4 linked regions of the Schizosaccharomyces pombe genome follow. Changing the gene in region 2 together with the main gene of any one other region gives a genetic interaction. Each region holds a gene or a part of one and is shown on either strand. Other genes may lie near its edges. The genes, in order: rad13, rad2, rad9 and res2.

The links.
Region 1: mutations in rad2 (region 2) and rad13 impair growth when combined (synthetic growth defect), as found in Schizosaccharomyces pombe (2 studies listed by BioGRID, with this or other methods).
Region 3: mutations in rad2 (region 2) and rad9 together harm fitness more than expected from each alone (negative genetic interaction), as found in Schizosaccharomyces pombe (3 studies listed by BioGRID, with this or other methods).
Region 4: mutations in rad2 (region 2) and res2 together harm fitness more than expected from each alone (negative genetic interaction), as found in Schizosaccharomyces pombe (3 studies listed by BioGRID, with this or other methods).

Annotation. Positions count from the first base shown.
Region 1 is NC_003423.3:2,670,974-2,680,243, reverse strand, and holds rad13 (DNA repair nuclease Rad13), read left to right. Parts: upstream 1-3,674; 5' UTR 3,675-3,886; coding exon 3,887-7,225; 3' UTR 7,226-7,254; downstream 7,255-9,270. Other genes in the region: methionine aminopeptidase Fma1, read right to left, coding at 71-1,026, 1,087-1,132, 1,182-1,202, 1,255-1,371; SPOM_SPBC3E7.09 (Sad1-UNC-like protein), read right to left, coding at 1,648-3,627; SPOM_SPBC3E7.07C (uncharacterized protein), read left to right, coding at 7,500-7,547, 7,593-7,604, 7,666-7,693, 7,737-7,791, 7,847-8,070, 8,209-8,285. UniProt on the Schizosaccharomyces pombe protein: Single-stranded DNA endonuclease involved in excision repair of DNA damaged with UV light, bulky adducts, or cross-linking agents. Essential for the incision step of excision-repair.
Region 2 is NC_003424.3:5,386,074-5,393,446, reverse strand, and holds rad2 (FEN-1 endonuclease Rad2), read left to right. Parts: upstream 1-2,024; 5' UTR 2,025-2,185; coding exon 2,186-2,198; intron 2,199-2,267; coding exon 2,268-2,358; exon of another isoform or gene 2,359-2,535; intron 2,536-2,543; exon of another isoform or gene 2,544-2,739; coding exon 2,740-3,778; 3' UTR 3,779-3,861; downstream 3,862-7,373. Other genes in the region: SPOM_SPAC3G6.07 (uncharacterized protein), read right to left, coding at 797-1,174; SPOM_SPAC3G6.05 (Mpv17/PMP22 family protein 1), read right to left, coding at 4,052-4,124, 4,194-4,291, 4,356-4,427, 4,484-4,861; RNA-binding protein Rnp24, read right to left, coding at 6,455-7,373. UniProt on the Schizosaccharomyces pombe protein: Structure-specific nuclease with 5'-flap endonuclease and 5'-3' exonuclease activities involved in DNA replication and repair.
Region 3 is NC_003424.3:1,711,267-1,718,813, forward strand, and holds rad9 (checkpoint clamp complex protein Rad9), read right to left. Parts: upstream 4,451-7,547; 5' UTR 4,271-4,450; coding exon 4,166-4,270; exon of another isoform or gene 4,113-4,165; coding exon 3,779-4,112; exon of another isoform or gene 3,722-3,778; coding exon 3,108-3,721; exon of another isoform or gene 3,052-3,107; coding exon 2,824-3,051; 3' UTR 2,654-2,823; downstream 1-2,653. Other genes in the region: rpl13 (60S ribosomal protein eL13), read left to right, coding at 1-574; ribosome biogenesis protein rlp7, read left to right, coding at 1,551-1,673, 1,891-2,517; bfr2 (traub family ribosome biogenesis protein), read right to left, coding at 4,947-6,147, 6,209-6,308, 6,355-6,402, 6,445-6,454. UniProt on the Schizosaccharomyces pombe protein: Acts in DNA repair and mutagenesis. Involved in promoting resistance to ionizing radiation and UV light, as well as regulating cell cycle progression after irradiation. Repressor of entry into mitosis that is activated by chromosome breaks.
Region 4 is NC_003424.3:684,951-693,061, reverse strand, and holds res2 (MBF transcription factor complex subunit Res2), read right to left. Parts: upstream 6,528-8,111; 5' UTR 6,470-6,527; coding exon 6,238-6,469; exon of another isoform or gene 6,074-6,237; coding exon 4,332-6,073; 3' UTR 3,883-4,331; downstream 1-3,882. Other genes in the region: mitochondrial aspartyl/glutamyl-tRNA amidotransferase subunit B-related Aim41, read right to left, coding at 1-213, 337-495; atp20 (F0-ATPase subunit G), read right to left, coding at 1,078-1,209, 1,259-1,356, 1,406-1,532; ATP-dependent RNA helicase Rok1, read right to left, coding at 2,134-3,579; glutamate-cysteine ligase Gcs1, read right to left, coding at 6,792-8,111.

The sequences.
Region 1 (9,270 bases), on a different chromosome or scaffold from region 2:
TACTTATAAATTTCATATACAAAGAAAAATTTTCTGCTTTTATTTTAATTCATGTTGGGTATATCAAAATTTATTTTAAGGGCCCTCCAGGTGAATTGGGGAGTCTGGCTGTTAAAACTTCACAACCAGTCTCTGTAACTAACAGTGTATGTTCGAATTGAGCAGAACAGCGTCCAGATGCAGTTGAACTAGTCCAATCATCCGGCCAGGTAATGTCTCGGGCGGGACCTAGAGTAAGCATAGGTTCGATTGTAAAAGTCATTCCTGGGCGAGCAATTCCAGGTGCCTTGTTGTGGGAATAATGAGGAATACTAGGAGAACAGTGAAATAACTGGTTGATTCCATGTCCACAATATGTGCGGACGACAGAAATCTGCTTCTCAGTAATGCTATTTGTATGCTTTTCAATAATATTTCCGAATTCCTGAAACAATACTCCCGGTTTTACCGCAGCAATTGCTTTATCCAAAGCAATTCTCGTATTTTCTACAAGGCAAACGAGGTCAGGATTTGCTTTTGCTTTATCTCCAACATAGTAAGTCTCATTTAGGTCACCATGAAAACCGTTATGGTAAAGGGAAACATCAATGTTTACAATATCACCATCCTCAAGTGGCCTTTGATCTGGAATTCCGTGACAGATGATTTCGTTCACAGAAGTACAAACACTTTTTGGGAACGCGTAATAGTTAAGGGTGCTTGGAAAACAATCACGTTCAATGCATGCATTATGAACAATACTATCAAGTTCATCGGTAGTTGTTCCAGGACGGACGGCAGCAGCGGCAGCATCAAGTACCTCTCTACCAAGTCTACATACTTTACGCATACCTTCCTGCTCCTTGGGTGTCAATCTCTTCAGTTTGAAGCTTCGACCTTCAATTTGCTCGCTACGAGAGACTCCTGTCTTCGCATAGTCAGGTCTTTTTATATGTGGAGGAACCTTGCGTATAGGCGAAAGCGGATAAACTGGTTTCAATGAACCTGCGAAATGAAATTTTGGGAAAGGATTGTAAGTTCCATCCTCTGATGAACAAATTAGAAAAACGCTTGAAAATAAAAGCTATATACTTTTGTTGTACGTACCTCTCTTTTCTACATTCGGTGGACGATGAAGATGTTTGTGAATATTCTGGATTACCTAGTGTTAATTTACGTTACACGAAATTTTCTTGTATTACCCAGCTGTTCCTGAAGCATTCCTTTTTTTTTTTGAATTAGTAAATACGTAAACTAACAGAAAAACTAAATTACCTGTCCACAAAAGTAAGATTTAACTCCGTCATTTAGACATTTGGGACATTGCAGTCTGTCAGCTTCATTATTACAATCTATACCGCAACAAATATGTTTTGCAATTTCAGTAGCCATATAAATACTTTGTCTTAAGGGTATCACTCGCCTTAGTTTCTAGACTCGAGAATTTCTAGTCACACTAGTGCTTCGTAGCCGTGAAGTACATTAATGTCGTTGGAACCTATATAACCCAATGCCACTCTTTAAAGTTATGATTTTTGCAAAACTAAAAAAATAACTTTAATATATGCTTTTCAGTTTTTAAATAAATAATTCATTTTTCTAATTTTAATATGAATTTAAATCATTAACTTATGAAAAAATATGGAAGTTTCACAATACATTCTATGATTAGCATACTGAATGGCTCCTAGAATGTATAATTTTATCTTGTTCTCTTTCGTGTATACTGCGTATGCTGGTATTTGGATCTCGCTTTTTTCTTTGCAGTAGTTCAGGTCCAACGGTATAAACCGCTGAGGAAGCGCTAACGCGAAAATCGTTGGCCTTCGAAATATCTTGCTCGTCACGTGAAAAAGGTGGTCTTGAAGCCTCAATAGGGTTGTTTGAAGATGAACGGGTTGTTGGCAGATTTTCTGGAAGCCTCGATACGGCCATATACACTGTTAAAACGATTAGAACCGTGAGTTGAAGCATTAAAAGTCGCTTTTGAAAAGATGATTCTTGATATAGTGAAGTAATTTGACTCTGAAAGTATTCATTTTCTGCAGAAAGAAGCTCAAGTTTAGCTTGGAGAGCAAACAAAGACGGCTTAACGACACTTTTCGACAATTTCGAAATTTCTAATTGAAGGGTCGAGTTCAATTCATGTAATAGCTGCGTAAAATTCATGTTTTTGGCATTGTGCTTACCATAATTTGTTAATATTTTTTCTACAATTTCATCAAATGCCTTCTTCCGTTCTTCTAAGGTAGAAAGACGCTTATTTATGTTTTTGTAAATGCTTTCCTGATTAGAAGGAAAGGTAGATATTTGAGCGGTACTGTAAGAAGATGAAGAAGATGGAGAAATATCGTTAAAAGAGCGAGTTGATGTTGCAGGATATGATTCACTTTTTCCTGTTTCATTTCCTATAACAACAGTGCTCAAAGACTTAGATATCACAGTAGAAGAAAGTAAGGTGTCTGTACTATTCAACTCGACTGATGGATTCTTTCTCACTGGTTTGCTTTGAACATCGGTATCTTCTTCGTCCACAAAAATAGGACTTTCTTGAGGCTTCCGGATTTCATCTGCTTTAATAGCGCTTCCGTCGTTCACTTTTTGTTCTAAGAAGTCTTCATTTGCTTCTTCAAATTCTTCTATCATAGTTTTTCCATAAACCCTAAGTAGGCTTACAGGACAATAAAATTCTGACCCATAATGAGTTAAAAACTCTATTTTAAGATACTTCGCCCAAATAAGAGGGTTCTCAATATGAAAAGATTGAAGAGTCCTTAGGTTTAAGGCCGTAAATGTACCCAATTCCATCCAAGAAGACTCGTATTTTGGATATTTACCGCTTACACTGACCTTGAAATCACGAAATATACTTGAAAAAAATTCGAAGTTGGCAATTTGAACTGTATCGACATAAATATCCTCACAAAGTTCAATTACCACGAACTTGTTTTCAGCGGAACATTTGTTCAGCATATATTTGTCTTTGTTTTCGGTCAGAATCGAAGAAGATCCGACTGCTTCAGGATTTGTTTTAATGACAGCAGCAGCGCAGTCAGTTGAAGCAAAGTTGAATCTTTTTTCTTCTGAGAATGCAACAGTCTTTTCATCTATATTTGAATCAATTGTAGCTGCTGCTGAAGTAGAGGAACCATCCTCAGAAATTGGTAGAGTAACCGAAGAACTAGTAATAATATTAGTATCAATAACTTCCGTTACAGAATAGTTTTGCTCTAGCTTCTTTGAGGATGAAATTGTAGACGTCTCGTTCACCAATGGTGGGCTAATTGAATCTATAAATTCGCTAGTACTTGTTCCATTGGAATATTCATATTTTGACAAAAAATTAGAAGAAATGGTATCACTTCCATTCAAACTCGTTTTTGTGTGAAACGAAGGTTCCTGGTACTTATTTGTGGGAGTGAAATCCCATGTTGTAGGGTTGCTAGCTTCTTTTTCTTCAGATTTGGTAGCAATCACAGAAAGGTACGCATCACATACCAAATTTTCGTTATGCGTATCTGGTGACTTCAAACACAATGCCGGATATTTACACCAATGACTCGTTTGTGGAGAGCAGCAGCATAACCGAAATATAATAAAATAAATTAAAAAGGCATTTCCAAATGCAGACAATCTTCTTTTGACCATATGATTTAGGCAGCCCTATCAGTTTAATGTGGTAATTGGCTCAAGTCAAGTGCCACACACTAAAGTGTTAGCATCAATCATCGCACATGCCCTTGTTTTATCGCTTTGTTGGTAAAACATGTCTTTTATAACGATTTTAATTAAAAAAGAAGAAAAAGGGTAAAGAAAAAGGCTTGCTTTAATCACATTTCTTCGTATAATAATCAAAAATAAAGTCGTCTACAACGAAACTTCTTGACATCGCATATAATATTTTGCAATGGGGGTTTCAGGTCTTTGGGATATTTTAGAACCGGTAAAAAGGCCTGTCAAGCTAGAAACACTTGTTAACAAACGGTTGGCAATTGACGCTTCAATTTGGATTTATCAATTCTTAAAGGCCGTACGTGACAAAGAAGGAAACCAGCTGAAAAGCAGTCATGTTGTAGGATTTTTTAGAAGGATATGCAAACTATTATTTTTTGGGATTAAACCTGTATTTGTTTTTGATGGAGGAGCGCCGTCATTGAAACGCCAAACTATCCAAAAAAGACAAGCCAGAAGACTCGACAGGGAGGAAAATGCCACGGTCACGGCCAATAAACTTCTGGCTTTGCAAATGAGGCATCAGGCAATGCTTTTAGAGGAAAATAATAAAAAAGCTACTGCATTGGCAAATGCCTCGGTTCAAAATGAGAGACAAATGCCTTCATCTATGACATTGGATAATTCAGAAATTAAGCCAGTACTTAATCAAAGAAAAAATTATTTGAAGCCTGATCCATACCAACTACCTGAAATGGACGTTTCGTTTGATAAGTTAGGGTCGAGTTACGACCCTCGAATTATGTCCCAGGATGAGCTTACACAATATGTCTCTAGTTTTACTAAAATTGAAGATATAAATTTATTTGATTTTTCAAATATTGATTTTGACTCTGAATTATTTCAATCATTACCCGATACGGATAAATATAGTATTTTAAGTGCAGCAAGATTACGCTCTCGTTTACGAATGGGTTTAAGCTCTGAACAACTTTCCGAGATGTTTCCTAATAGAATGGATTTCTCTCGTTTTCAAATTGAGAGACTGAAGGAACGTAACGATTTAACTCAGAGATTAATGGACTTTACTGGAATGAATGAGTTTGGACCCTCTAGAGTAGTAAGTGAAAAAAACCGAGAATATATTTTAGTAAAAAACGAAGGTGCTGAAGGTGGATGGGCTCTCGGTGTTATCTCAGGATCTACAAACAATGAACCTATTATTATTGATGATGAGGCTACAAAACTTAGCAGCAATCTTATAGACGAAGACGAGGATGAGGCATTCTACGATGTGCCTTTACCTAGCCGATCTCATAGCATGAACCCTAGAGAATTGGTAGCCGCTAAATTAAAGGAAATAAAAGAAAATTCATTTTCGGAAAATCAGCAATCAGATGAAGCAGATTATAATGTTACTGATGATTTAATACTTCAATTAGCAACCCAGCAATCTCTAGAGGAAAACAAAAAATCAAAAGAGCTGTTTAGTCTTTCGGCTTCTGAGTTTGATAAGTTGAATAGCGAGAAAAAGACGTTTGAAATTTTGTCGACCGATATTCCTGCAGAGGATTCAATGAATTCACTTCTTAACGACGAGGAAAATTTGAAACTTGAACATGTTGGAGATGTTTCCAATGATTCATTAGCATTCGCGGAAAAAAAGCATCCTGAAAATGGGACTTCAATTTTTATGGATGCCCTTCCATCTGCGAGTAGAGAGAAAAAAACCAATGATTTAATTGATCCTTTACCTTTTCAGCCTATGGATTGGGGAAAGTCTATTTTTTTCGAGAAATTAAAGAAACCAACTGAAACATTTATGGATTCTAAAACTGATATACCAAGTGAGGCACCGGATAATTCTAAACTTGTGGAAGATACAAATTTACATACTATTAATGCAACAGTTAATATTGAATCCGATTTAGACGCTGCTAAACCTGGAATTGAAAATCCAATTATTTCACCTCTTCTTCCGGTAAAAGATGATGAAAAAGATTTAGACTTACGTGAACTCAATCCTTTGGAACCCTTTGAGAATATGAAAGAACAAGCTGATGATGGCACAGTTACCAACCCATTAAATGTTTCTAGTGATAAGGCCATGTCAGTGTATTTATTGAGCTCCGAAAATGCTAAGGATACTGGGGATATCAAATCCGAATCAATTGACGCTGTTCTTCCTACTTTAGAGACCAGCAGCCCTTCACTTAGCATTCCAACTGACTTTCAAAAAGAAGCCTCTCCAAATAAAGGAGCTGCTGCCTTGAGTTCGAAAGTAGAGCCTGAAGTGGTTGAAAAACTTTTAGATGAGGAAGAAGAGGAAATGATTATCAGGATGGCAGAAGAAGAAAAGGAATATGATCGGTTTGTTTCAGAACTCAATCAACGACATGAAACTGAAGAGTGGAATCAAGAGGCCTTTGAAAAAAGGTTGAAAGAGCTCAAAAATCAAAAAAGGTCTGAAAAACGTGATGCGGATGAGGTCACTCAAGTAATGATTAAAGAATGTCAAGAACTTCTGCGTTTATTTGGCTTACCATATATCGTTGCTCCTCAAGAAGCAGAAGCCCAGTGTTCTAAACTTTTGGAGCTAAAGCTGGTTGATGGGATTGTTACTGATGACTCAGACGTGTTTCTTTTTGGTGGAACTCGGGTATATCGAAATATGTTTAATCAGAACAAATTTGTCGAACTCTATTTAATGGATGATATGAAAAGAGAATTTAATGTGAATCAAATGGATTTAATTAAGTTGGCACATCTTTTGGGAAGTGATTATACTATGGGACTTTCTAGGGTAGGTCCAGTTCTTGCACTGGAGATTTTACATGAATTTCCTGGTGACACTGGACTTTTTGAATTTAAAAAATGGTTTCAACGTTTATCAACTGGACACGCATCAAAAAATGATGTTAATACGCCAGTAAAAAAGAGAATTAACAAGTTGGTTGGAAAAATTATTTTACCATCAGAATTTCCTAATCCGTTAGTTGATGAAGCTTATCTTCATCCGGCCGTGGATGATAGCAAGCAATCGTTTCAATGGGGCATACCCGACCTTGACGAGTTACGCCAGTTTTTGATGGCTACTGTGGGTTGGTCAAAACAACGAACTAATGAAGTTTTACTTCCGGTTATACAAGACATGCATAAAAAGCAATTCGTGGGTACACAGTCCAATTTGACTCAGTTTTTTGAAGGTGGTAATACTAATGTATATGCGCCGAGAGTTGCATACCATTTTAAGAGTAAACGGCTTGAAAATGCTCTTTCATCTTTTAAAAATCAGATTAGCAATCAAAGCCCAATGAGTGAAGAAATTCAGGCAGACGCAGATGCATTTGGTGAATCTAAAGGATCAGATGAACTACAAAGCCGTATTCTTAGAAGGAAGAAAATGATGGCAAGCAAAAATTCCTCTGATTCAGATTCAGACTCTGAAGATAACTTTTTAGCAAGTTTAACTCCGAAGACGAATTCTTCTTCAATTTCTATTGAGAATCTACCTAGAAAAACCAAGCTTAGTACTAGCTTACTAAAAAAACCCAGCAAAAGAAGAAGAAAATAAGTTTAATAAATTATTTATTTATTTGTTTACTTAACTGGTTGTTCCTATAAAAGAAGTTACTGTAATTTTTTGTTGAGTAAATTTTTTTGAGTTTTCCTGCTGTAACTGTGTTTAGACAAAGTAATTGAGCAACATAGCTTATATTTTGTGATTTATTCGTGTTTTGATTATTTACAATTTTTCTTGCTCTTTGTTACCTTACCTAATGTCACTTTCTACTACAACCTACTTAGCAGCAGTAAAGTAAAAACGGAGAAACAGAATATTTTTCGAAATGTTAAGTACAAAAATTGATGCGGAAAATGCGGAAAATGCCGCCGAGGTAAGCCTTGGTTATTATTTATTTAATAATACTTACAGATTTTAGATTGAAATGCAGGTACGTGGTTGTAGAAAGTATTTAGTTTTGGTAAAGCATGTACTGATTTAAAAAATTTTAGTTTGCAGTAAAAGCTGTTGAACAGGCTCGTAAGTTGAGCAAAATATGATGGAATAAAAAATAACAATTTAGAAATATACTGGAGTCTTTTGGAAATGCGCAAGGGAAGCGAGTTAAAGCTGACAAAGTAAGTATATATTTACATCTTTAATTTAAAGTTCAAATTGCTTACTATTGAATAGATACGATGATGAGATTTTTGAAGATTTAATAAACACCTTCCCCGAGTTTAAAGACCCTAAAACAGCTTCTTTTGTTAATGAGGATGAAATGAAGTCCGCCAAAGGAAAAGCTGCCTGGCGTCCATTTTTAATGCGCTATGAAAAGAAGGTTGACGATTACAATTTTGGTACTCTTCTTCGTATTAAGAATACTGATGAGTATGAGCAAGAAACGACTATTTTTGGTATGTACTAGGAATCAAATTTAATGGTCTAAGAAACATGGCCATTTTTTAAGTGCCATTTTTTTAAAAAAAATCGTTTATGCGATCCATGAATTTCCATATTTTAATGTTCTATTTTATTTAGCTAACAAGTCTTAGTCCCTCGTATGCAATTTTTGGCCTACGAAATCGCCCGTAATAGATACGGTTTGAACGATTGGATTAAAAAAGATTAGACCTTGTTAATAAATATTACAACTCATCCAAATTTTTCTGAAGGAAGTATTTGTACAAATGATTGCTCCGTAGTTAGATAACATATACATTGGTTTTTCCTAATGTACAATTACAATTCAGAATAAAATCAAAACAAGTGGATGAAGGTCATATTTCCTTCTCTTATAAACGTATATCAAACAAAATTCATAGTGCTTGAGTAAGAAAATGTTATTTTTTCTAAAGTTACTAATTGAGAATTGTGACAAGTAAACAACAAAACCAAAGAGACCAGATTTCCTATGCTAATCAGAGTGATGTTTACAATTAAATCCGTCCTGATTATTCGACGTTTTTTTTTTTTCTAACAAAGTGACTCACAACTTGTTTAGATTTCTAGATATTGTGTAAGGAAATAATTTTTGCTAAAAGTAAACACTTTAAAGAAATGATACTAATAATATGAAGGACTGCAAACTTTATATTTGAGTATAATAATTCTTATAATTATATGAGAACAAAGTGCATAGATTTACTTCAGTGCAAACACAGATATAAAATTGTGTCGAGCTTTATGTTTCTAACTTCTAATAGCGAATCTTTAACCCATTGAGCATTTCAATTATGTAGCACTATTTCATACGTAAGGGCTGCATACTTATTAACTATTTTTTTTCAGAAATCTCAACTTGAATTTTACTAATTCATGTATTTACAGTTAGCAAGATGCTTCTTTTTTTTCGTAATCATTTGAGATGTAAGACGCCGGTTAAGAATTTGTGGGATAAACAAAAGAAATTACGAGGACCACTTACTTAGTCTATAAGTTGATTTTGCCGACCATAGTAAAGGTAACTGCATAAAATTATTGGTATTTAATTCTACCTTACAGAATCTCGAGAATTACTATATACTTAAAAAGAATTTCATGTACTTTTTCTGCAAAATAATTACAAAATATTGATGAATTTATTACTGGTCAATAAACCACGAATCAGTATACCC
Region 2 (7,373 bases):
GGCTTATGGCTTAAAATCGTATTTATTAAAACTTGTAATAAGCTAATTTGAGTTGTCTAGATGTAAACATTTATCACGTAAAACTAGTCCTTTAATAAATTGAAGATTTGAACTATAAAGCGTACTGTGTGAAATTAGGAAAGTATTATAAGTTTATCGCATAAAAGTTTGAAAACCATACCTAATTTTAGGAGCCAACCCTGAATTTATTTTTTTTTTTATTCTTATTTTTTTTTTTGTAAGACTAAACATAATACATTCAAACCTAGTGCATCAATAATCGAGAATAAAACTCGAATAACATTTTGAACCCTTTTTGCAATGAACAAGATTCATTCTTTGTAATCAAATGTAAATTCGAAAAGTAATGTAATATTAAGGAATGTTTCCTTAACTCGATTTGGGATCAACAAATAGAGGTTCAACTTTGATTATATCACTGTGCATACTATAACATGTATTTTTTTAAGTTTGTTTTTTCAAAAGGTTACAGATCGATTTACTAAGCTACAAAATTCAAAAAACTTAAAAAATTCAATACTTGCAAAGCAAAGAAGCAGAAAAAAAGATCCAAAAAAAAAGGATTACATTTATTTTGTTGAATTTATTATTTTTTTTAAAAAATAAATAACTTAACTAATGAATCACTATTTAGCAATTCTCTTTAGATTTGAATCCATAAAAATCATAACAATAAGCGAAGCAATATAACTGGTATTTGCTTATAAAATGAGCGATTCATGCAAGCAGAAAGTTCTTTAAAAACAAAAGAAAACATTAAAATAGATTTAGCACTTCACTTTGGCGTTATAATATCTCCATGTTTTTTTACATGATCACGATACACTCGATATGGTAAAACCAGTGTATACTTTGGCATAACAAAATCATCTCCAACAAACGATTCATCCTCAACATATGTTTTAAGAAATTGTAACACTTCGGTTTGATCAGCTTTAGTGAGGTCGATGTATATATACAACAAATATGAAAATTGGAAAATGGTATTAGCAGTTGCTTTATAAACCACAAACGATTGGTAATATTGTCTACCTTTGTTATAATAGTCTATAACATCAGGAATAACACTGTTTTTTTCCTTTTCATTAGAGACATCTTCTCCTTCGTAATCGGCAGGTGCCAATGTTAAGTATGGCGAGCTTTGTTCAGACATTGTTCTTGCTTTCACAGGTAAATTGAGGTTGCACTGGGATATGAGTATACTGTAAGCAAGGCGCGCAGCATCTCATATAATATTCTTTCAACGAGCCGACATTAACTAGAATTTGCCAACGTAAGATCAGAATGACGTTTTGATCCGCACGAAATACGTCGGTAAAGGAACCTTATTAGTAGAATATTGCAATATTGTTCGTTGTCTGCATACTACACAAGCGATACCATAAACTGGTTACGATTATATTTTCGACGATTCAGTAGCAGATATGGCGAGTTTCAAATAATACTCTCTTGGTAAAATGCCTATTATCCAACATTGTTCCATGAATCAAGGCTATTGTTCTATTAAAAATATTACGTTGAGCAATTCAAGCGGCTTTCTCACTACGGTATCTCAGTACCGTAAAACCACTGGTTTATTCTCATAAAAACAACCTTATGTTACACAGACTTACATCTAGCCAAGTCAATAGGGTTTCGGTAAAGTTCCAATGTACTTTTCATCCTATTCCTTATCCGGAAAAAGGAATCGATCATTTTTCCAGAATTTCTGATGGTACATTACCTTTTCGAGATCTTTTCGTGGTAGTAAACTGCGAGGTGATTTACATTTTACAGCCGTGCTGCCACCAAAACCACAAGAACCTCAATTTGGTAATCTTAAAATTTCTAATTTGTTCCTTCTAGAAATCCTTTTTTAAAAGCTATAATACATGGGAATTTTCAGTATAAATTGGCTGGTCCCTTTCCTTGTATTTACATTCTTTGGTCGATCATTCTTTATGGAAAAGTAACATGTGATTTACTGAATCGACTCTTTGACGTGGATACTACTGCTGGTAGCTAAGAACCTTTGTGTGAGTGAGCAAAGTAAAAACTGCTCGATTTTGAGGAGTATAATACATCTAGCAAAAATTGAAAATTTAATAAGAAGCTCTAAGCTAGTTTTGGAGAAAGCGTTGTTCGGGATCTCGTAATATACATAAATAAGTATATTTGCTAAACGATGGGAATTAAAGGTATGTTACATTTAACGCTAAAGAGTTTATCTTTTACTCTCTCCTTTACTTAAAACTAATCTGGGTTAGGTTTGGCTCAAGTACTAAGCGAGCATGCCCCAGCCAGTGTCAAACATAATGATATTAAAAATTATTTTGGACGGAAAGTGGCTATAGATGCGTAAGTTGAAAGACTAAATAGAAAGCGAAAGTCTCAGTTGACTTGGCAAAGACTGTATGGCTTCTGATTTTGTTTGTAAATATGGGTTAAACACTATGGTGTACAGTTTTTATTGCTAAAGAGCAAAGCTCTATGTCTTAACTCGAGACAAAGATATGATACAAACGAAATATAGAATAAAGGATGAATAAATTTTCACTAACAGTGACTCGGTTAAATTCATTGCTCAAGGTATTTTACATCATTTCTTTACTTTGTTGGTTCTTGAAGTTGCAAACACTAATAGGTCAAACTCTATTCAACTGATTCTTTCCTTTTCGAAGGGTTGATTTATAAAGTCTTCTTGAGGTACTTTATTAATGCTAATTTCGTATATTACAGGTCAATGAGTCTTTATCAATTTTTAATTCAAGTTCGCAGTCAAGATGGTCAACAGCTAATGAATGAACAAGGCGAGACTACTAGTCATTTAATGGGAATGTTTTATCGTACACTCCGAATTGTCGATAATGGAATAAAGCCTTGCTTTGTCTTTGATGGAAAACCACCAACATTGAAGTCAGGGGAATTAGCTAAACGTGTGGCCCGACATCAAAAAGCACGAGAGGATCAAGAGGAGACAAAAGAGGTTGGTACAGCTGAAATGGTGGATCGGTTTGCCAAACGTACGGTCAAAGTTACTCGGCAACATAATGACGAAGCAAAACGTTTACTAGAGTTAATGGGAATTCCCTTCGTTAACGCACCCTGTGAAGCAGAAGCTCAATGTGCCGCTTTAGCCCGTTCAGGAAAAGTTTATGCTGCTGCTTCTGAGGACATGGACACATTGTGCTTCCAAGCTCCTGTACTTTTGAGACACCTGACATTTAGTGAGCAAAGAAAGGAACCAATTAGTGAGTATAACATAGAAAAAGCATTGAATGGTTTAGATATGTCGGTGGAGCAGTTTGTAGACTTGTGTATTCTTTTGGGTTGTGACTATTGTGAACCTATTCGGGGAGTTGGCCCCGCTAGAGCCGTCGAGTTAATTAGGCAATACGGGACTCTCGATCGCTTTGTCAAAGAGGCGGATCGATCAAAATATCCTATTCCGGAAGATTGGCCTTATGAAGATGCCAGAAGACTGTTTTTGGATGCAGAAGTACTTCCTGGTGAAGAGATTGAGTTGAAATGGAAAAGTCCCGATGCAGATGGCATTATACAATTTCTGGTTAAGGAAAAAGGTTTCAATGAAGATCGTGTTAAATTGGGGATCAATAGACTAGAAAAAGCCTCAAAGACAATTCCACAGGGTCGTCTTGATTCCTTTTTTAAACCAGTCCCTTCTTCTCCCAAAAAACCTGTAGATACAAAGAGCAAAGGATCAGCAAAAAGGAAAAGAGATTCAAATAAGGGTGGTGAAAGCAAGAAAAAGCGTTGAAAACGAAGTCATGTAATTGTTATTAATCTAAAAAAAAAACTTAAAAAAAGCAAGACGCATGTAGATAAAACTATACTACGCTATAATAATAGTAAATCTGTTTAATGCATGACTTTTACGTAAAAATAATTAGTCTAAGGAGGTAATTCTGATCATATAAGCTAATAATGGTATACAAAACTCGTTTCTAAGTAATAATATGCCAAAAAACAATCTGGCTGATACAACTCAAAAAACGAAAAGCAGTGGATTCGGACGATGGATCAAAGATCTTTAAAATAGTTCAATTTCTTGTGAGCCAGATTCTTGCATTGAAGAAGCGTTCTTCAAACTAAGAAATATGTTCCTAATTGAAATTAGCAAAGGCGAAAAAACTAGGAGCAAAAATGCTTTATGTCTCTTGGAAACAACATACCAAAAAATAGCAACCGTACAAGCAAATGGCATTTGGTATTGTAAGGGCATTAGCCAAAAGTTCACAGTTTGAAAGAAGGGCCAGACCATATAATTAGCCTTTAAATGTTAGCAACAATACAACAGAACCATTTAAGAAAGAAAATTTAGAAATTAAGTGTACCTTTAAAGTGGGCCAGAAAACAGCTTGAAGTTTATCGTAGGCGCCCCTGAAACCTTTGCCCTCAGCAAGAGTCTGCGGTTTAGTGTTAGTATTGATATACATAAACATGCAAGTTAATTTTTACTTACCATCCAACTGAAAAAAAAGGCAGTACCGAATGGAGCAAAAACAGCTTGATCCAATAACACACGCTTCACGACATTAATAGCGCCTTTCTCTATTGGGAACTTAGCAGATAGCAAACGCAACCACCGAAATTGAAATGGAGAAATAGCAAAACCAAAAGTAACAAATTGAAGAACCCTTTTAATACTAGGTATTTCAGGATGAGTGTTTAATCTCACGCCATCCAAACCAATCATCGCATTTTTGTTTGTTTGGTATATGGTCAAGCCTTGGGCGACAGCATCGGATATTCCACCCAGTGTACCAGCAGTTAGACACATAGTCATAATCGGCGCCTTTTCAAAAAGAGCGTTATAGCGGGTTGCAAAACGACTAAACATAATGGATAATGAGGGACAAAAAACTCAATCAAAAGCAATTCAAAATCTAACGACCCAATGCTAGTATAAATAATAAATTTTATTTTCAAATTTCCTTTTTAGGATCAAAACTTCTAGTTTCTTTTAGTTTATATCACAAATTGATGTAAACTATGGAATTGCGAGAAGTGTTGGTAGAAAGCAGATTCGTAAACGTAATAGTGAAGTATATAAATGTTCGGTCAACGCTTTATGTTTTCCCTGGTTTAGATTTTAATAGTTGCGAAAAATCAATTTTTTTTATTTATAAAATTGTCAAGGTTCAGTGTTGCTCTACACTCACACTGTAGCACTTATGAAATTGTAACAGAATCATCCACACCTTCTGCAGTCATCTATTTATACTAATATTATCTCACTGTGAGATCTATAGCATCACTGTACATCTACAATTGAAAATTCGTTTATTGAAGAAGCGGGCCCGTGGGTGAAATTGTAGTCAAACTAGTTCTCTGCTTCAAGAATTTTTTGTAGCAAAAAAACAGCATTATACAACAAAAATTGACGTCCGTTGTCTCTTGAAGCAGGAAACAAGCTCCCAAATGAACAAAGAAGACGAAACAAGACAATCATAGCAGATCAATAGTCTTAGCGCCCAAAACATTTCCCACGCCCGAATTTGAAATTTTTAGGATTCTTATTGGAATTAAACAGTAATAAACGAACTTACTTAAACTGCATCGTTGTGAATAAGTCTATATTTTTTACTAGAAGACACTACATGCCTAAACTAAAAGTACAAAACAACGTGTGGAAGCTACCATAAACGAAAATTCAGACAAGCTAATCGTATAAGCAAGACTAATGTTTATATAATTTATTAATGAAGATTTATAAATATGCTAATACTTTTCTATTAAAGGTTAGCATACGTTTCAAATAAAAAAGTTCTGTGCAATAGCAATGTTCAGATAAATAAAAACTTCGCGTACTCGTCAATGTAAATACTCCGAGTGAGCTGGGTTTAACGAAGAAAATCATCATGGTAAAAGGCTTGCTTTTATTTGCAACTTAGGATTCGACATACCATCAATATTAACCTATTTATATTCAGACAATGAATGACTAAATCTTATGGTGTTGGTGGAGTTTACGAGGGCGCCGCCTATTTATACTAGTAAATGGGATATTAGGTTGTTAAAAGATATAACGAATAAAAAATTCAAATTACTAATCCAATCAGTAAATGTGACTGTTAAATTCGTAAACAAAAAAAGCAAGGCCATGGAAAATAAGTGACTGGTGGTCATTATTAGTTCATGGTCTTTTTAGTTGCTTTAGATAATTAATATGGGCAAAGATGCCATCATAAACAACAGCCACAAAAGGAGATAGTATTTCTCTAGTTTACCTTCCTACTCAAAAGCTTATCCACACTCATAAATACTAATGCAATAAGTATCAATATATGTGATACGATGAGTAATATGTAAATATAGCATTGCTAATTAAAAACTAAGACAATAAATGAAAAATATTTTATATTAATATGCCCTGACCCAAAATAGTTTTTTCTAAAAACGAACGTAATCGAGTATTCCTTCATAAGTTATATTAATCAAATTTAATTTTTTGGCCAGCTGGCTCAACAATAGCAGCGGAGGATCGCTGAGCCTTCGCTAATGCTGCACCGGGACGGACAGAACGCGGGTCAATCTTCCTAGCTCTCTTGAAGTTTGGTTTGTCCTCTTGACCTAAAGATTCAGCATCATTAAATCGACCAGAGCGAGCCATTGGGGACTTGTTCCTCATCCTTTTAGACCGATCTTCTCCGTATTCTAACCGCCAACTATTATGGCCAAGTTCCATAGCTTTCATACATGTGTCAATGTCTGGAAAATCAACAAATCCAAAGCCTTTACATTTGCCCGTATCCTCAAAGGTCATCAAGCGAACACGTCGAATTTGGCCAACTTGACCAAAGTGCTCCTTTAAGTCGGCATCAGTGGTTTCAAAATCCAAGTTGCCAACGAAAAGGATCGAGGAAGGCTCCTTCTTAGATGATTGTATAGATGCAGTTTTGGAAAGAGTGTTTGCTGGCTTGCTTGGTCTCCCAGAAAAATCTGTATTCGACTTGATCAAGATGTTTCTACCATTGAGAGCCTTTTCGGAACATTGAAGAGCTAGCTTAAGCGCATCTTCAGTAGCAAAGTCAACATATGCAAAACCTTTGTTTTGGAATCTTTTTTCTTTCGACATGGGCATGTGTATACGAGTAATTTGTTCGGTTGTAATGGGTTTAATATTTTCTTCAGATACTTCCTTTATCATTTCACTTGTCTCCCGAACAAAAAAGTCTGTTAAAATTTCCTTCGTTGTATGAAAACTTAAATTACCCACCCAAATACCCCATGGTGATCTTTTGCTCTCTTCTTGTGATTCACCTTCCTCTTTCCTACCATATTTAGCATCCAGCCGTTTCAATCTCTTCTCTTCTTTCTTTTTAGCTTCTTCAAGAGCTTCAGGTGTCCAA
Region 3 (7,547 bases), 3.7 Mb from region 2:
GCAGCGTTATGTGAAGACATGGTTTAACCAACCTGGCCGTAAGTTGCGTCGTCGTCAAGCTCGTCAAACCAAGGCTGCCAAGATCGCTCCTCGTCCCGTTGAGGCTATTCGTCCCGCCGTTAAGCCTCCCACCATCCGCTACAACATGAAGGTTCGTGCTGGTCGTGGTTTTACTCTTGAGGAGCTCAAGGCTGCTGGTGTTTCTCGTCGTGTTGCCTCTACCATCGGTATCCCCGTTGACCACCGCCGTCGCAACCGCTCTGAGGAGTCCTTACAACGTAACGTTGAGCGCATCAAAGTTTACCTTGCTCACTTGATTGTTTTCCCCCGTAAGGCTGGTCAACCCAAGAAGGGAGATGCTACTGATGTCTCTGGTGCTGAGCAAACTGATGTTGCCGCTGTTCTTCCCATCACTCAAGAAGCTGTTGAGGAGGCCAAGCCCATTACTGAAGAAGCCAAGAACTTCAACGCTTTCTCTACCCTTAGCAACGAGCGTGCTTATGCTCGTTATGCCGGTGCTCGCGCTGCTTTCCAAAAGAAGCGTGCTGAAGAGGCCGAGGCTAAGAAGAAGTAAAATGTCTGTAGTTAATGGATCAGGCAGAACTGGAGTATAAATATTTTGTTTGAATTTGGGTAACTTAAGCTTTTTATGTACATTCGCAAACAGTATTGTATCCAGTAGCAGAAGTGGAAGCTAGTTCACTTAAAAAATTTTAAGTAGTTTCACTAAAATTCCTATTTGCATATAACATTGGTGGCTGTTTAAGAGCGTGGTAAATATTGTAGTCTCTTGAGTTTGTAAGTCGTACAGTCGTATTGATAGAATAACCTTGTAATTTCATTTTGAATTGCAAGGGCTTTCATGCATTTTCTTACAGTATATGTAAATTTGTGTTTATCAATTGTTTCCTTTTAATAATTGCTTTCTGATTTTTATAAATGTATATGATTATTTTACATAAATTGCGTGTGGAAAACTATATTTCATCAATGTCACATTTTTTTTTTCAGTTTAGGATGAATGACATTTAAACGGCTACCCTAAGAAGTTAAGGGCTAATAATACAATTATTCAACTTCTCATGTGTTTTCGCACTGTTTCGATTAATGTTGTGCAAAATTTATCATCTCCATATCCCACGTCCCTGAGGAGTTTGAGCACCAGGTGATTACATTCAACATTGATAATATTCCTATTAAAATCGTTTGTATATCTTTTAAACATGAATTTCAATGGTACAAGGTCAATTAGATAAAGTTTGGTCTTGGTTATTAGAAAGAGATGCTTCGATATGGAAGGAGCAATCTACTATTGTGCAATTTTTGTTATATTGTCAAATTAAATTTGCCATAGTTTTTAAACACCATTTTTTACCTTTAAGTACACATTTCAAAGCCTATTTGAAAATCGCTTCAAAATTTTTTTGCGCTTATTAGCGGATTGTAACGAAGAACATTATGTGTCTTAAAGCAGTCACATTTCATAGCTATAATTTTTCGTCTGTCTATAGTCCCAACGTGCCCTCTACTCGTTACTAACAGACGATAAAATGGCGGAGGATGCACCGGTTGTACAACAGACTATGCTTGAACCTGAGGTGCTTTTAAAAAAGCGCAAGGTCAATGAGCGTACTCGGAAAGAACGTGTTGAGCAGGCTATTGCCAAAAAAGAGGTATGTGAATTGCTTGTTCTACAGGTTTGAAATATCCATAATATACATATTTATATGAAAAAGATGAACCTTTCACTCTTGGATTGCTAGTTTCGACGATGCTGCTCCAAAATACCATCTTTCGGCTGATTCATATATTTTGTATTGGTTAAATTTAAACCTTTGACTTCATCAATTTTTATATATTGTTAAAAACATTTTACTAATTTTACTCCAGGCCCAGAAGAAAAATCGTAAAGAAACCTTCAAAAGGGCTGAGACTTTTATTAATAACTACCGCCAACGAGAAAGAGAACGGATTAGGTTAAATCGATCTGCGAAAAATAAAGGAGACATTTTCGTGCCTGATGAAACAAAACTTCTTTTCGTTATTCGAATTGCCGGAGTCAAGAATATGCCTCCTAAAATTCGCAAAGTTCTGCGCTTATTACGCCTTTCTCGAATTAACAATGCCGTTTTTGTGCGAAATAATAAAGCCGTTGCTCAAATGCTTCGAATCGTCGAACCTTATGTTATGTATGGTATTCCCAATTTACATTCTGTTCGTGAACTCATTTATAAACGTGGCTTTGGTAAGATCAATGGTCAGCGTATTGCTCTCTCTGATAATGCATTAATTGAGGAGGCCTTGGGCAAATATGATGTTATTTCCATTGAAGATATCATTCATGAAATTTACAATGTAGGCTCTCATTTTAAGGAAGTTACTAAATTCTTATGGCCATTCACTTTGACTCCAGTTAAACACAGTTTGATGGAGAAAAAGGTCAAACATTTTAATGAGGGTCGAAAGGCTGGCTATTGTGGAGAAGAAATTAACGAATTGATTAAGAAACAAGTTTAAAACTTTCTTTGAGTTCGTGTAATGACTTAAATTTTGCATTCAGATGAAAATGCAAAAATGTATATTAGACTTTTTATAGGCCGTGGATTGGAATTTAATTAATTGGGTTACATTATTCACTATCTTATTGATTTATTAGAACTACTATGTAACGTATCGTATGATGAGGGTAATTTTGTAGTTAAAAAAAACTAAATTATTGATAAATATTGTACATTATATAATATGAGTGCTGTGTTTTATGAGGTTGTCACAAGCACCTGTAAATGTTCATAATTTTACACACCATAGCAAAGAAGGATTTTCCTAGTCTTCCTGAGAGAAAATGCCATGATAACTTTGTTCAGCTTGCGTTGGTCCAAATTCGGCATCATCGTTCACATCATTATTAAAAGCAGCAAGCTCGGATTCATTAGGAATACCATCTAAGAACAATGATTGACCAGCATCGTTTGTGGTTGATGGCTCCTTAATGCCATTAGTTTCGTCGCTTCGGTCAAGCGCAGAATTAAACATTCTGGATGAGTCACTTTGCTATAAAGTTAATGTTAATAAATTATTGTACTTAGTACTAAAGCCGAATTACATACATCAGTTTGCCATCCAATAGATCCAGGGGGATTATGTGCTACAGCAGTCAATGAGTTGTTGCGCTCTACTGAATTGAACAGAGAAGCTGGTGTTGAACTGTGCTGCCATCTATTTCCCATCATAGATGACACCTCTTGTTCATCTGATCCAACTACAGTTGCAAGAATGAACTGCGCTTCAATTTCGGAATTTTTCCCTTTTGCAAAAGTTAAAAGTATCGGTTTTCCTGGGACACCGTAATATGCACAAATCGAGCTTCCCAATGCCTCTGCTAAAATGACGGCAGCACGAAATTCACGTAGAGAAAGGGTAACAGAGACTCCCTCATTAAGTGCGACGCGTTCAAATTCTTTACCATCAATGGAAACAGTTGTTTGGGTAGGTTGCTTCAAAATATCTCTATTATGTACGACCTCTTCTGTGAAACTTGTAAGTAAAACACGTTCTTGAAGTGGTTGAATTGTAAGCTCTTCCGTTCTCTGACCAAAATGTTCAGTCAAATCTTTTAGAATTTTTGAGTTTATTTGAAAATTATTGTGACTAAGAGATTTATCAAAAACAGCGTGTAAAGTTTGGGTTTGTTCATATGATATTTTATATGTTTTAATCACTCCTTGATGAATAAACGTTAGTAGAGCAAATAAAATAATAAGACGGACAAACTACGTACCGTGCTTGCATAAGAATTTAAATATAATCCTACACTCGCTACCAGTAGAGATTGAGATTTGAACATTCTCGACAATCACATCTTTTCTGCTTGCAGATTCACTGCCATAACCGTTCTTGCTATTGGTAGTGACGACAGTCGGGATGAAATCAAAGATTTTGTTTCTAAACACAGATAGTATGGGCTTGACTTGCGTACGAATACGTATTGTAGGAGTCATCAATCCCGTCAACAGGACGGAATCCGGCTGAAAAATGTACTTGTCAAAAAATGCCTTTTTTAAAGTCACCATGCTAAATCCTGACCTAGAAGAATTTAAACATGTAATCTCTATCTTTACCAATTAGTTTCAATGTTTAGTAAGGTTTGAAAAAAGTTCCAACACACCTGATTTTTGTTAATTTCCCAGTTGACAGCATCATCGATTCTAGAAAGATTTGTAAAGATCCTTGCGAGGTCCCGAAGATTAACATTTGAAACAGTGAATTCCATTTTATATACCAGTACGTGAATTGATGTAGACGAATGCTGAACGAATAACGATAGTTTCTAGTCGATATGACGATTAATTTCTTAATTCATGCTAATAGAAGTAAATAAATCTCGACAATTTTTGACAAACAGAATTGAAACTGGTATATACAGAGGTAAATCTATAATGTGGTGTTTTCTAGCACCTGCTTTAACGCACTTATATTAGTATAGACACGCGCGCCGAAATTTGTACGAAAGTGTAATGGCCAACATCAATCGCAAAATAATCTGTATATACACAATGAATTGTAATAAGAAGAAACTTATAGCTGCTTTTAATTTGCAGCAGAAAGAGTTCAACTGTACATCATATAAACGTACATACTTTTATGCTTAAAATACTAAAGTGCACAAAAACTAAAACCTTCAGCCCAAGATAACCCTTTATTACTTGTAATTGCCCGACATTGTGACCATCTATGTAACCATATATATGTTAAATTTTTTTATTAACCTAAATAATTGTAAACGAAATATATTATAATAGAACCAAAATCCGCGAATGCCCTTTTTAAAACCGAAAAAAGATATACTGTAAGTAAAAATAATCATGCACCCTAAATGTTTAGCACAGCTTGCGTATATTAAAAAAAAGACAAATAGTGAAGCTTATCCAACACGCACAAGCTTATTTTCAACCGAAGAGAGAAAATCCGTCGTTGGAAGAGATCAGTTCATCATCCTTCTCCACGAAGTTTGAAGTATTTGTATCATTAGCTGTCTCTGATAAATCTAATTGTTGACCCAACAGACTACTAAACAAATCTTCAGTTTGTTCATCCGGCCATACAGTCACTTCAATGGGAGCCATAAAATTTTGTAATTTATCATGAACGTGATACCTTATTTTTCGACCTTTGGATGCCTTAGTATCAACGTTTTCTTTCTTCTGTTTTTGCTTTTTTGTAGCCATCCAACGAACAGTGCCATCTCGAGTAGAGTCTGCCATTCTAGAATTAATGAAATCCTTCAATAATGATTGATAAAAATCCGTGTCGTTGTAAATTTCGGGATTGAAAGTTTTGTTGTTAGGGTCACTGTAATCAATTCTAGTGCGCTCGACCAAATCTTTCTTGTTAATCATAGAATTTTCGATTTGTTGAACAATACTTTGATTTAGAGCCTTGAATTTGTTAGATTGCGAAATCCCTTGCACTGCTTGAACCCGATTATGCCATTTGGTTAAAGTATCATTTTTCCACTCATTCAAAGAGTCGTCAAGGTTATTCATTTCTAAAGCAATTTCTTCTAGACTAACAGGATTCTCTTTTCTTTTTGATCTACTGTCAAGAATTTCCACTCCAGAGTCAATAAGTAAGTTTTTCCTCAGCTGTAAAGTGTGTTGAATAAAAGATACTAAACCATCTCGGGCTTCTACTTTATCACCTTGAAGTTGGTTGCTGGAAGAAAGAAGTTGACTACATCCTTTTTGAAGACGGATTCTAGTATCTAAAACATTATCGTAAAAACGCATCTGCTCCTTCAAAGCTAAACCCTTTTTCATGTCTTCAAGGGCGGATGTACGAATTTGATCAGATAGCTTTTTCTCTCCATTTATAATCTTTTTTAAACGATCCATGTCTTTTTCAGGAATGGCAGAAGATTGGTCGTCATCTTCATTTTCCTCAGAAATTGATGAAGCTTCTGAGCTTGAAAAATTTTCGTGATCTTCTGAAACTGCATCATTTTCGTCTTCCTCCGAATCTTCTTCTTCAGATGGTGATGAAGATTGAGAGTTTAAAGAACCGCTATTAAGTAATTCCTGGCGAGACGTTTTTCTTCCTTTAAATTTTGGGTCTAACTGAGGAGCCTGTTTTGAGCGTAATTTACTTTCACTATAAAATATGAAACATTAGTATAAGCTCAAATACGCAAAAGTAAAAATTTTGAACATACCTAACATCAACATAATGTTCTCTCCCTAAGGTATCGTTTTCTTCTTCGCTAGAGTCCTCTCTATCAGAGAATGCGTCCTCTAAAGCTTCAGGGTCTCTTTCTATTTATGTGAGTAAGAATCCCGGAATTTTTCGTTAATAACATACCCTGCGGTTGAGGGTTTAGCATCCCTGCCAATTCATCTTTTAAAGAAACTAAAGATTTATTAGAACCTAAAAATATCTTATTGAACTTACCTTTACCCATTTTGAGCAAATTTTGATGTGTCTGGGACTGGGTAAGTGAAGGGGTGTGGGTTAGCAAAATTATCATTGTATGAAATAAATATAAGAATGAAGTTTGAAGGCATTTATCGGATTCAGCTAGTACAGACGAGGTTATATTACTTTGTTTGAAATAAATAATATGGTTTTTATGAAGCAACCAAAAGTTGAAAAAACGAACACAGCACGAGAGTTGATTATATTAGTAAAACGACGTAGAGAATGCAACCGACTAAAGTATCGATTTTTAAAGGGCTAAAAATTGTTCGTTAAAGCTCAAGGTAAAAACTCGGAAATTCCCCACATCTTGCTTCTTTCTGTCTAGACAATGTAACTAAACAATTACCAATTTATTATTTTATTGTTTGACTGTGTATTATGCTAACGAGTATTATGTCTCTCTAAAACTGTTATAAGAATAGGAGTTGAGTTTTGGTAAGTGTATGCTTGCTGTTTCCAATAAAAGCGGTCTCTATTTAACTTGTTGCTTATTTTTAAAAAGCAAAAAAATATCTTAAAACAGTGTTGATTTTAAGTAATGTTTACAATTAAATTCAAAAATTTCGTTACACATACGATTCGAAAATGGGGTGCTGCTGTAAAAGAACGAGACGTAAACTCTTATACTTAAAAAAATAAAATAAAATCTAATTTGTTTTTTTTAAAGTTTCATACCTTGCTTTTGTCAATATTATTCCAATACCCTTGCATACTGCTTTTGCTCAATAATATTTTAAATCGAATCGGTAACAGAGTATATGTGAAAGAAAATAAAAACATTTAAAAAAAAGTTTTTCAAAAAATCTGGAACCAAATGAATTGGGCATTGAAATACTATTTGTCCTTGATAAAAATCTTTGCCCATGTAAATAAATCCAGGATTAGACTAACACATCAAAATTTGAATTAATCGATGAGTTAAAATGAATCGCTTTCGACCCTATTATATTAGTTTTATATCAACTATAAGAAAAAAGTTCCTAAAAACAATTTGTAATATCATAAACATCGATGTTGCAAACCATTATTAGACAGATAGATGAAAGACTACAAAATCAAATACATTTAATACCGAT
Region 4 (8,111 bases), 4.7 Mb from region 2:
TTAAATATTACTAGCATGTTCAGGTAGGAATTGTCGTAAAGTTTGAATCTGAGATTCTTCTTTTTCCGCTAGATCAAGACGCTCAGCCTTGCGAAACTGTTCAATAGCTTGTTTACGCTTTTTTATGTTTTTTTTAAGTACTCGCAGAACGTCTAAGTCTGTAGTAACTGGCTTACTCGACTTGTTTGCATATTCGATTTCCGAGAGAAATACCTAAGCTTGTTAGCGTCATATTCATCTACAAACATAGATAACATAGTTCTGACAGCCTCTTCACATTGCTTGAACACTGATGCAATTTAACATGTAGACCGTCACGTTTTATTTCCAACGTACTTTTAAAGTAGACGCAACATCTTTTTGCCTAGATTTCATGGAATCCAGCAATTTTTTACGAATAACTGCTTGAAGATTTGGGATTGCTGAAGCGTTAGCAAATAAATGACTATTCCTAAGTTTGCTTACATGTACTATTATAGCGTAAGTATTGTACATTACGAATAGCTATCCTTGATGTGTGTACTAAGCGTTGATTAAACATTGAATTCTTTTTCTTGGATTATGTTTTCAGGTCAGACCCAAAAATTCCCCTAAAGGTGGTGTAGCGCAGAAAGTATTTGGTAGTAGGATTATCCCATTTTGTTTGGAGATGTGGAAACTAAAATATGCGAAATCGCTCATTGACAGTGAGGTAACTCCATCAATTTAGCAATATTTATTTATTAGTACAAACTGATTTTAAGATTGATTGCGAAAATGAGACATTTGCTTTCGGTAGATTTTACAATTAAATTAATGGTTATTCAAAATCAAAATTGAAAAACAAGCAATACAGTGCCGGGTAATAACACTTACGCCTACAATTAGGTCCTGCTACCTAAGACCTATAATTTAGTTTCCCTATTAACAGAAATGCTTTATAAAGACCTCATCTTAATATGTTAACAAAAGATAGTTATTAATAGTCTCATTTATTGAACAGCCTGGTGTATGTTGGAGACAAAATGAATTCGCAGTAGTTGAAATGCATAAGTATCCAGCAATCAGAAGCTTTTATGAAAGATTAAATTCATCTTTTTAATGATATGGAGTAATTTTTCTACGACCAACCATCTGGCCAGCGCAGAAAATACCAACTATTTCAACTGCGATGAAAAAATTGCGGCCCCATGCTTCAGAGGATTGACTTTTCCAAAAAAGGAAGGGAGACTAAAAGAGAAATTAGTGGATCTGTTCTTTGTAGCAAATAGTTGCTTACATGAGTATTGGAAGGGGGTGCAATTTTTTGAGAATGATATACTTGTTGAACCAGCTCTTTCGAAACATTTGCCCAGTACATAATAGGTTGTTGTACAGCTAAATTGAAAAAGTTAGTTAAACAAATTAACCGTTATGTTTAAAATACCCGATAATTTTTGGATTAAGGGAGTGAAACGACCCTTGGCTTGTTCAGCAACTGTTTTAGTAGAGTAGTGACTCTTCCTTAAAAAATTGTAATTAATACGAGAGATAATTCGACTTGTGGAAAACATTATACTTCGAAATAGCCTGAATTGGAAAGAGATGGGATTCGGTAAGTTAAGGTTGTGATGAAGTTTCTACTCCCATATACCAATTAAGTAACACCAATTTTTCTCCGTTCATAGGTAATTTCAATGATACACAATATAAAGTAAGTTAAAACAATATAATATTTACTGAAACACACTCGTGATTTCGAAAACGAGAAATTATAAAACAGTGTCAGCAACGTAATATAGCTTTCAAATTGTAGTTAAAATAACAATTGCAAAAACCCTGTTGGGTACTTAAAATAAAATAATCTCCTTGTACCTGTTTACGCCTACATTAATTGTACTCGTGTAGATTTTTATCAGTTTTAAAAAGCCGTACAGCACTTGCTGCATTATTGTTAAACAAAAGATGTAAAGTTAGATATGTCAGGTACCACAGTAACATAAAAGTTTCTTACCACAAATAAAAGTAAAAGAAAATAATATGATTGCTAAAAAATATAAGGCTCTATTATATCAAAGCAATAGTATTTTGGAGTGAATATGACTTTTTTAAATGAACACAAAAACTAAACTAAAACCCAAAACCCTTTATATAAATACTTTCAGTAGCAACAATCTATTGTCCACTGTCTCCAGTAGCTTCATTATGCTTTTTGATAGAGGCTTCTTTTTTTACCTTCTTAATATACTCCTTCTTACGCTGTTCCTTTTGTCTGTCGTAAGAAGCTCTAGTAGTAATCCTCTTTCTTTTAGGAGGACTCTTCTTCAACTTCTTTTTCATTTCTTTACTAGGTTTAGGAAGTGCCATAACCCAGTTTGGAACCTCGCAACCTGATGAACGCATTACACCAGCAATAAGCTTGATATATTCACCATCTTCCTTTGTAAAAAAAGTAACGGCCTGTCCTGTATTTCCTGCACGCCCAGTTCGACCGATACGATGAATATAACTATGAACACTTTGAGGAAAGTCAAAGTTGATGACCATCTTTACACCATGAAAATCGATACCACGAGCAAGAAGATCTGTTGCTATTAAAACCCAAATTTCACCCTTCCGAAATTTCGCAAGTGCTTCTTCGCGCTTGGCTTGTGGTAATTCTCCATGAATGACACCAACGTGAATTTCATCAAATAAGAGTTCTGTGTACAATGCTTTCGCTCTTTCTATATCTTGAACAAATATTACGACTCGAGGCTTTAACTCTCCATTTGAAATCATTTGACGCAAAATCACAATTTTGGAAGTATCCGAACCAACAAACAAGAGTCTCTGATCGATGCTATCCGTGGCTGCATCTTTCAAACCAACGATGATTCGAATCGGATCAACCGTTACGACTTTAGCTAACTCTTCGACGCGTGATGGAATAGTAGCGGAAAAAAGGCTTTTACAAATATTAGAGCTGGTGCATGCACTTAGAATATGATCAGTTTGTTCAATAAAGCCAGGCTCAAAAAGTCTATCAGCTTCATCCATAACAAAGAATTCTACTTTTTCAAAGGACAATCCGGTTTGTATTGCTTGTACTAATCTCATCGGGGTGCCTATGCACATGTCATACTTTTCCCGGAGCTTGGGCGCTTTTTCTTGAATTTTTTCATTAGATTTACTTAATTCAATTATCTTCAATGAAGTTCCAAAAGACAGCTTTTCTGCCTGTCTATATATTTGCTCGCACAGTTCTCTAGTCGGCGCTACGATAATCGCTCTATATCCACCCGGAACATGTAACTGAAGTTTTTGCAAAATTGGGAATAGATATGCAATAGTTTTTCCAGAACCAGTTGGTGCACATGCCAATAGGTCTCGTTTAGAACCTATCGTTGGAATGGCATATCTTTGAATTGTGGTACATTCTGTTATGTTTTGTTTTTTTAAGTTTTCACAAAGTATTCCTTCCGGAAACTCTTCAATTGGATCAACAGGATTATTACCAGTAACTTTAGCTTTTCCCTTAGTAATACCTTGTAATTTTTTTGCTTCTTTTTCTTTTATAGAAGGTTGAGGTACTTTATTCTTAAATTTGACATTAGTTGTCAAAAGTTTCAACGCATCCATTTCCTTATGCAATACTTAATTATCAAAGTTAAAATATTTTAGTAGATATTTCAACGAAGGAACAAAAATAAAAGATTGTTGAAATTTTCAATTATACATATACACGACTAAAGTAAGTATGGTAGCTGCTGGGGAAAGGCTGCACTAACGTCCTCTAGTTAAACCAGTACGTTAATTCAAATTGTGTATTCCAACAGCGTTATTAAATTTATGTATGCTAAGTAAACATAATAAATGTATTCAAAAAAACGCGATTTCTGCGTTTATAGGTTACATATTTTTATATCGTATTTACGAGAAATACTGCTATAGATTTTCTTTCAATTAAATAATTGATTATTTGTATTAATCACTCTTTTACCTATTTGAACAGGACCCTCAAATTAAAGTGAAGCTCAGTAACTTGGTATCCTTTAGATGATCATTAACGTGCGAATGCAAAAAGGATGAATCATGAATGGAAGCACGCGCTGTAAATGAGATAAATCATTTTACAATAGTAGATTGTTTTAGCTGCGCATAAATAAGTAACATAATAGTTTTGTTAGGAAGGAGCAATATATGTTTTTTCCACTTGATTCCATTCGAAAATAATATATAAAATAACTCGTGTTTTTCTATCAAAGTATGATAACGTTGATAAATGCAGTTTGACAGTGAGTGTCATGGATAAAATCATTAACTATCATAACTCGTATCATTAAATAAAGAACGTAACATTAAGACAAGATGTAAATGAAAGTTTCCAAGATTCATTTTTCTCGGGTTAATGCTTCTTCCACAGCATCGAGTATTTCCAAACTCAAATCTTCAGGGTTGATGCCACAACTCATTGCAATAAGACGACGGTAACTATTAACTGTATCATCAATTCCTAGTTCTTCATACAATTTTCTAATATACAAAGTATCTTTTTTGCGGGAAGCTTGGAGAGAAGTTAACTTATTAATTAATTGCTCATATTCATCAGAATTGGTCACGTTGTTGCAAGCCGGCTTTTTAAAATCGTTATTTAACGAAAGTCCGTCTTCCTTTTTTAAAAAGTCGGAAGGAAAACTAATAGATAATGAAGTATGTGGCTTGAGGCTTCTCTCTAAATCAAAGATTTGTCGTGCTTCCAACCATATTAGTAACCTCTTCGAAAGCTGCTGGTAAGTTTCTTGGGCCTCTCGAATCAAGTTTTCCATAGATTGACTATAAGTGGGGTTATTTTTCTGCAGAAAGGTCAATTCCTGATAAGTTCTGGAAATTTCATTAAGCGTGTCTTGCTTGAGACGATTCGCTCTAATCAAATCTTCTTCTTTTTCTCGAAGCTGAGATTCATACTCCTCTGCTAATTGAGAAAATTTCGAAGATATTGAAGGAATTGCCTTAACAAAAGCATGCGATGAGCATGATGGCGAGATAATAGCAGGGCTTATTCCGGAAAATGAAAAAGCACTATGCGAAGCATTTGAGTTTGACTGTAACAATGAATGTGGCTTTTTGTCAGCTTCCAAAAGATACTCGGAAGCTGTACGTCTTTGTCGGTTAGGAATAGAAGGATTGGCGTTATAACTTAATAAAGAGTTTACACAATCCATGGCTCCATTTCGAGCAGCAATTAATAGAGAGGTATCTCCATTTGAATCTTGTAGATTTACCAATCTCACAACATTTTCAAATGGTTGAATCGATATTAGTTTCTCTAATATGCAATCCAAATAGTATTTGGCCGCTGCAACTTTTGAAGGAGTTGAGGTTGATTGCACAATATGATGAAAAATTGACTGACCATTGGTGTCAACAGCATAAATAGTAGACTGGAGAAGCTCAAGCACTTGTCCAAAAGTTTGGCAGTCATAATTATTGGTAAAGATAACACTCCTCATCAATGGTGTTTGACTCAGTCTGTTACACACGCCAATGTCAGCATTGGCTCTCAGTAATAACTTAATCATCTCTATATGTCCCATTGAGCATGCCCAATGAAGAGAAGTGTGGCCATCATCATCAATAACACTGTTAACTTGAAAATCCGGGGGCGGCGAATACAGGAAGGAAGGAATGCGTCCCTCTTCTGGGTGAAGAAAGAAGTCAAGTAGTGACTCTTCATATTTGTCAAGCGGTGCCTCCAACATGCCTAACTCTTCAACAGGTTTTATAGTGTTATCATTTGGTGATAGCAGTGCATTAGGAGACGCTGGCAGAGGTGTTGCAGAAACTTGCTCCTCTGCACCAGGCAAATTCACTTTATTCATAGATGACTCAATTGTTGGTGATATAGAAGAATTCGGTTGTTTTTCATTGACGGAATGCAAAGTGCTACTAGAAAGTGACGACGGTTTACGGCCTCTACGGCCACGTACAGAAGGCTTTTTCTGCTTGGTCTGCTTCTTCTTTGGAGCAATTGCTTTTCCCTCATCAATGTCAAGACTCAATATTGGGCTCATTATTCCGTCAACCTTATACTTTGTGGCCAGGTCGACCCCACGCTGAAATGGAACCCAAGTTCCTATAGTTTGGTTAATACCGTCAATCATTTAGAGGACGCGTCCATAGAGATATTTAATACAAAAAGGTATTAAAATACCTCGATTTGGCTTAGTAAACACTCAATTGTTCGCGTTGTTCAAAGATAGCAAATCATGTCACAACGCGTAACAGTAGACAACTTACCCTGATATTTTCCATATCCACCTTGTACTTTTTCATGCGCACCAATCTGTACTTGTCTTTCTAAAACCCTTGTCCTTTGTGGTTTGTCAAAGTCAGCCACTTTCAAGATTTGTGTAGCATTCAACCAGGAATCGCGGCGTCTGCGCATCACAGAGACACCTTTAATAAAGCATTCATAGACTTCAACCCCAGAATAAACGGCAACATGTACTGCGGAAGAACGTGGAGCCATTACAGCAAAAGGCAGTTAAAATGCGTAGCGCGGACTCTTAAAAGGGTGCATGCATTGCGTTCGCTCACCCTACCTGCGTATACACATAACAATAGGGAAGGGTGGGGCAATACAGAAAATCAACTATGTAGTTACTGAATATATATTAGCACTAATTAAATAATGAGTATTCACTTAATGAAAGGAATCAATGGGAAGTCTCAGTTGCCAAAGAACTACACTTGTAATACTGAATTGCAAAGGAATTTAAATTACCAAAATTTTAGATATGTTATTAAGTAGAAAAAAATCTTATATATATTCCACTCAGAATTCATCTGCATTATGAGCATTTTCCAAGTAACGTATCGTCGTAGTCGCCATCTACAATTTTTGCTATTCTTCTAATTAAATCATAATTAATTTCGTCGTTGACCACGCTGTCTTGCTTATAAGAAGGATGAGTTGTAATGAAATTGCGTATCCACGAAGCAGCAGTCAAGCATTGGCCATTTGCTCTTTGAGAAATTAGGCGAATATAACGTTCAATTAGGCAAATAGTTTTGGCATCAGGATTACAAGAGTATAAATAGCTTCGAACAATGGTAATTAAACCTGGGAATCCGTTTTCACGGTGCTCACCATTAAATAACTCGTCAATTGTAAGTTGACGGAACTGACCAGATTCATCATCAGTACTTGCGTCAGGAAATGGATTGCAACGGAACCAAAACTTTTTACGATGAATGGCATCACGAGCATGAGCAGCTTTCATGTTTTCATCCACTAGCGATATCGGCATGTACAGATTCAAATTGAAGGATAGAATTGCACGAGAAAGCATCACAACAAAAATTGAATATGCCGCATTTTCAAAATCAGTTATTTGAATTTCCATTGATCTAAATTCTACACGCCAACCAATATCACTACCTGGTGGAGGAGGTTTAAAGCGCATAGATTGCCAGTTAGTTGAGTTTAGGTTCTCAAAATGAGCATTGGATACACTGTTGTCTTGTAAAATGCTGTCACTGAAAATAACCAAAGGATCACGAGAGAATATGTGAGCCATGTGCTTAGCCAATCTTTCATCAATGCAATCTTTTATTAGCTTATCGTAGCAATCTTGATTTATAACGACCGGGACGTCATTATATTCCGGTAAATTGCGCTTGTCATTCGAGATATATAAGTCAACAGAATCATACCTTGATTTTGGCACAGTTTTCATTTCTTCCTCGGTTCGATCATCGACAGCACCAGCAATCACATTCCATCTACAATCTTGATCAGCCAAATAGCCTCGAAATGCTGGAGTTCCGGCAGATAATGCCAGCATCAAGGGGGTAATAGGAGTCAACTGATCGTATAAAAGTCTAGCTTCATCACAACTTTTAGCTTGGAATGTAATTTGTAGACAACAGCATCCCATACCGAAACCCATACTGTCCATGTAAATATGATTGTCTAACGCTGCACCATCTCGTGCATTTGCATCTTCAGGAAACAAATTTCTATCCCAAGGAACGGTAGGATCGTGAAATGGTTTAATTGTATTTTTATCGAAGAAAATCGGAACATTCATGGCCACTTTTCTCCCGCGCCTTTGACGAATATTAGCAGTCAAGGTCGGGAAACGAACATGTGTGTTGATAACATCGTC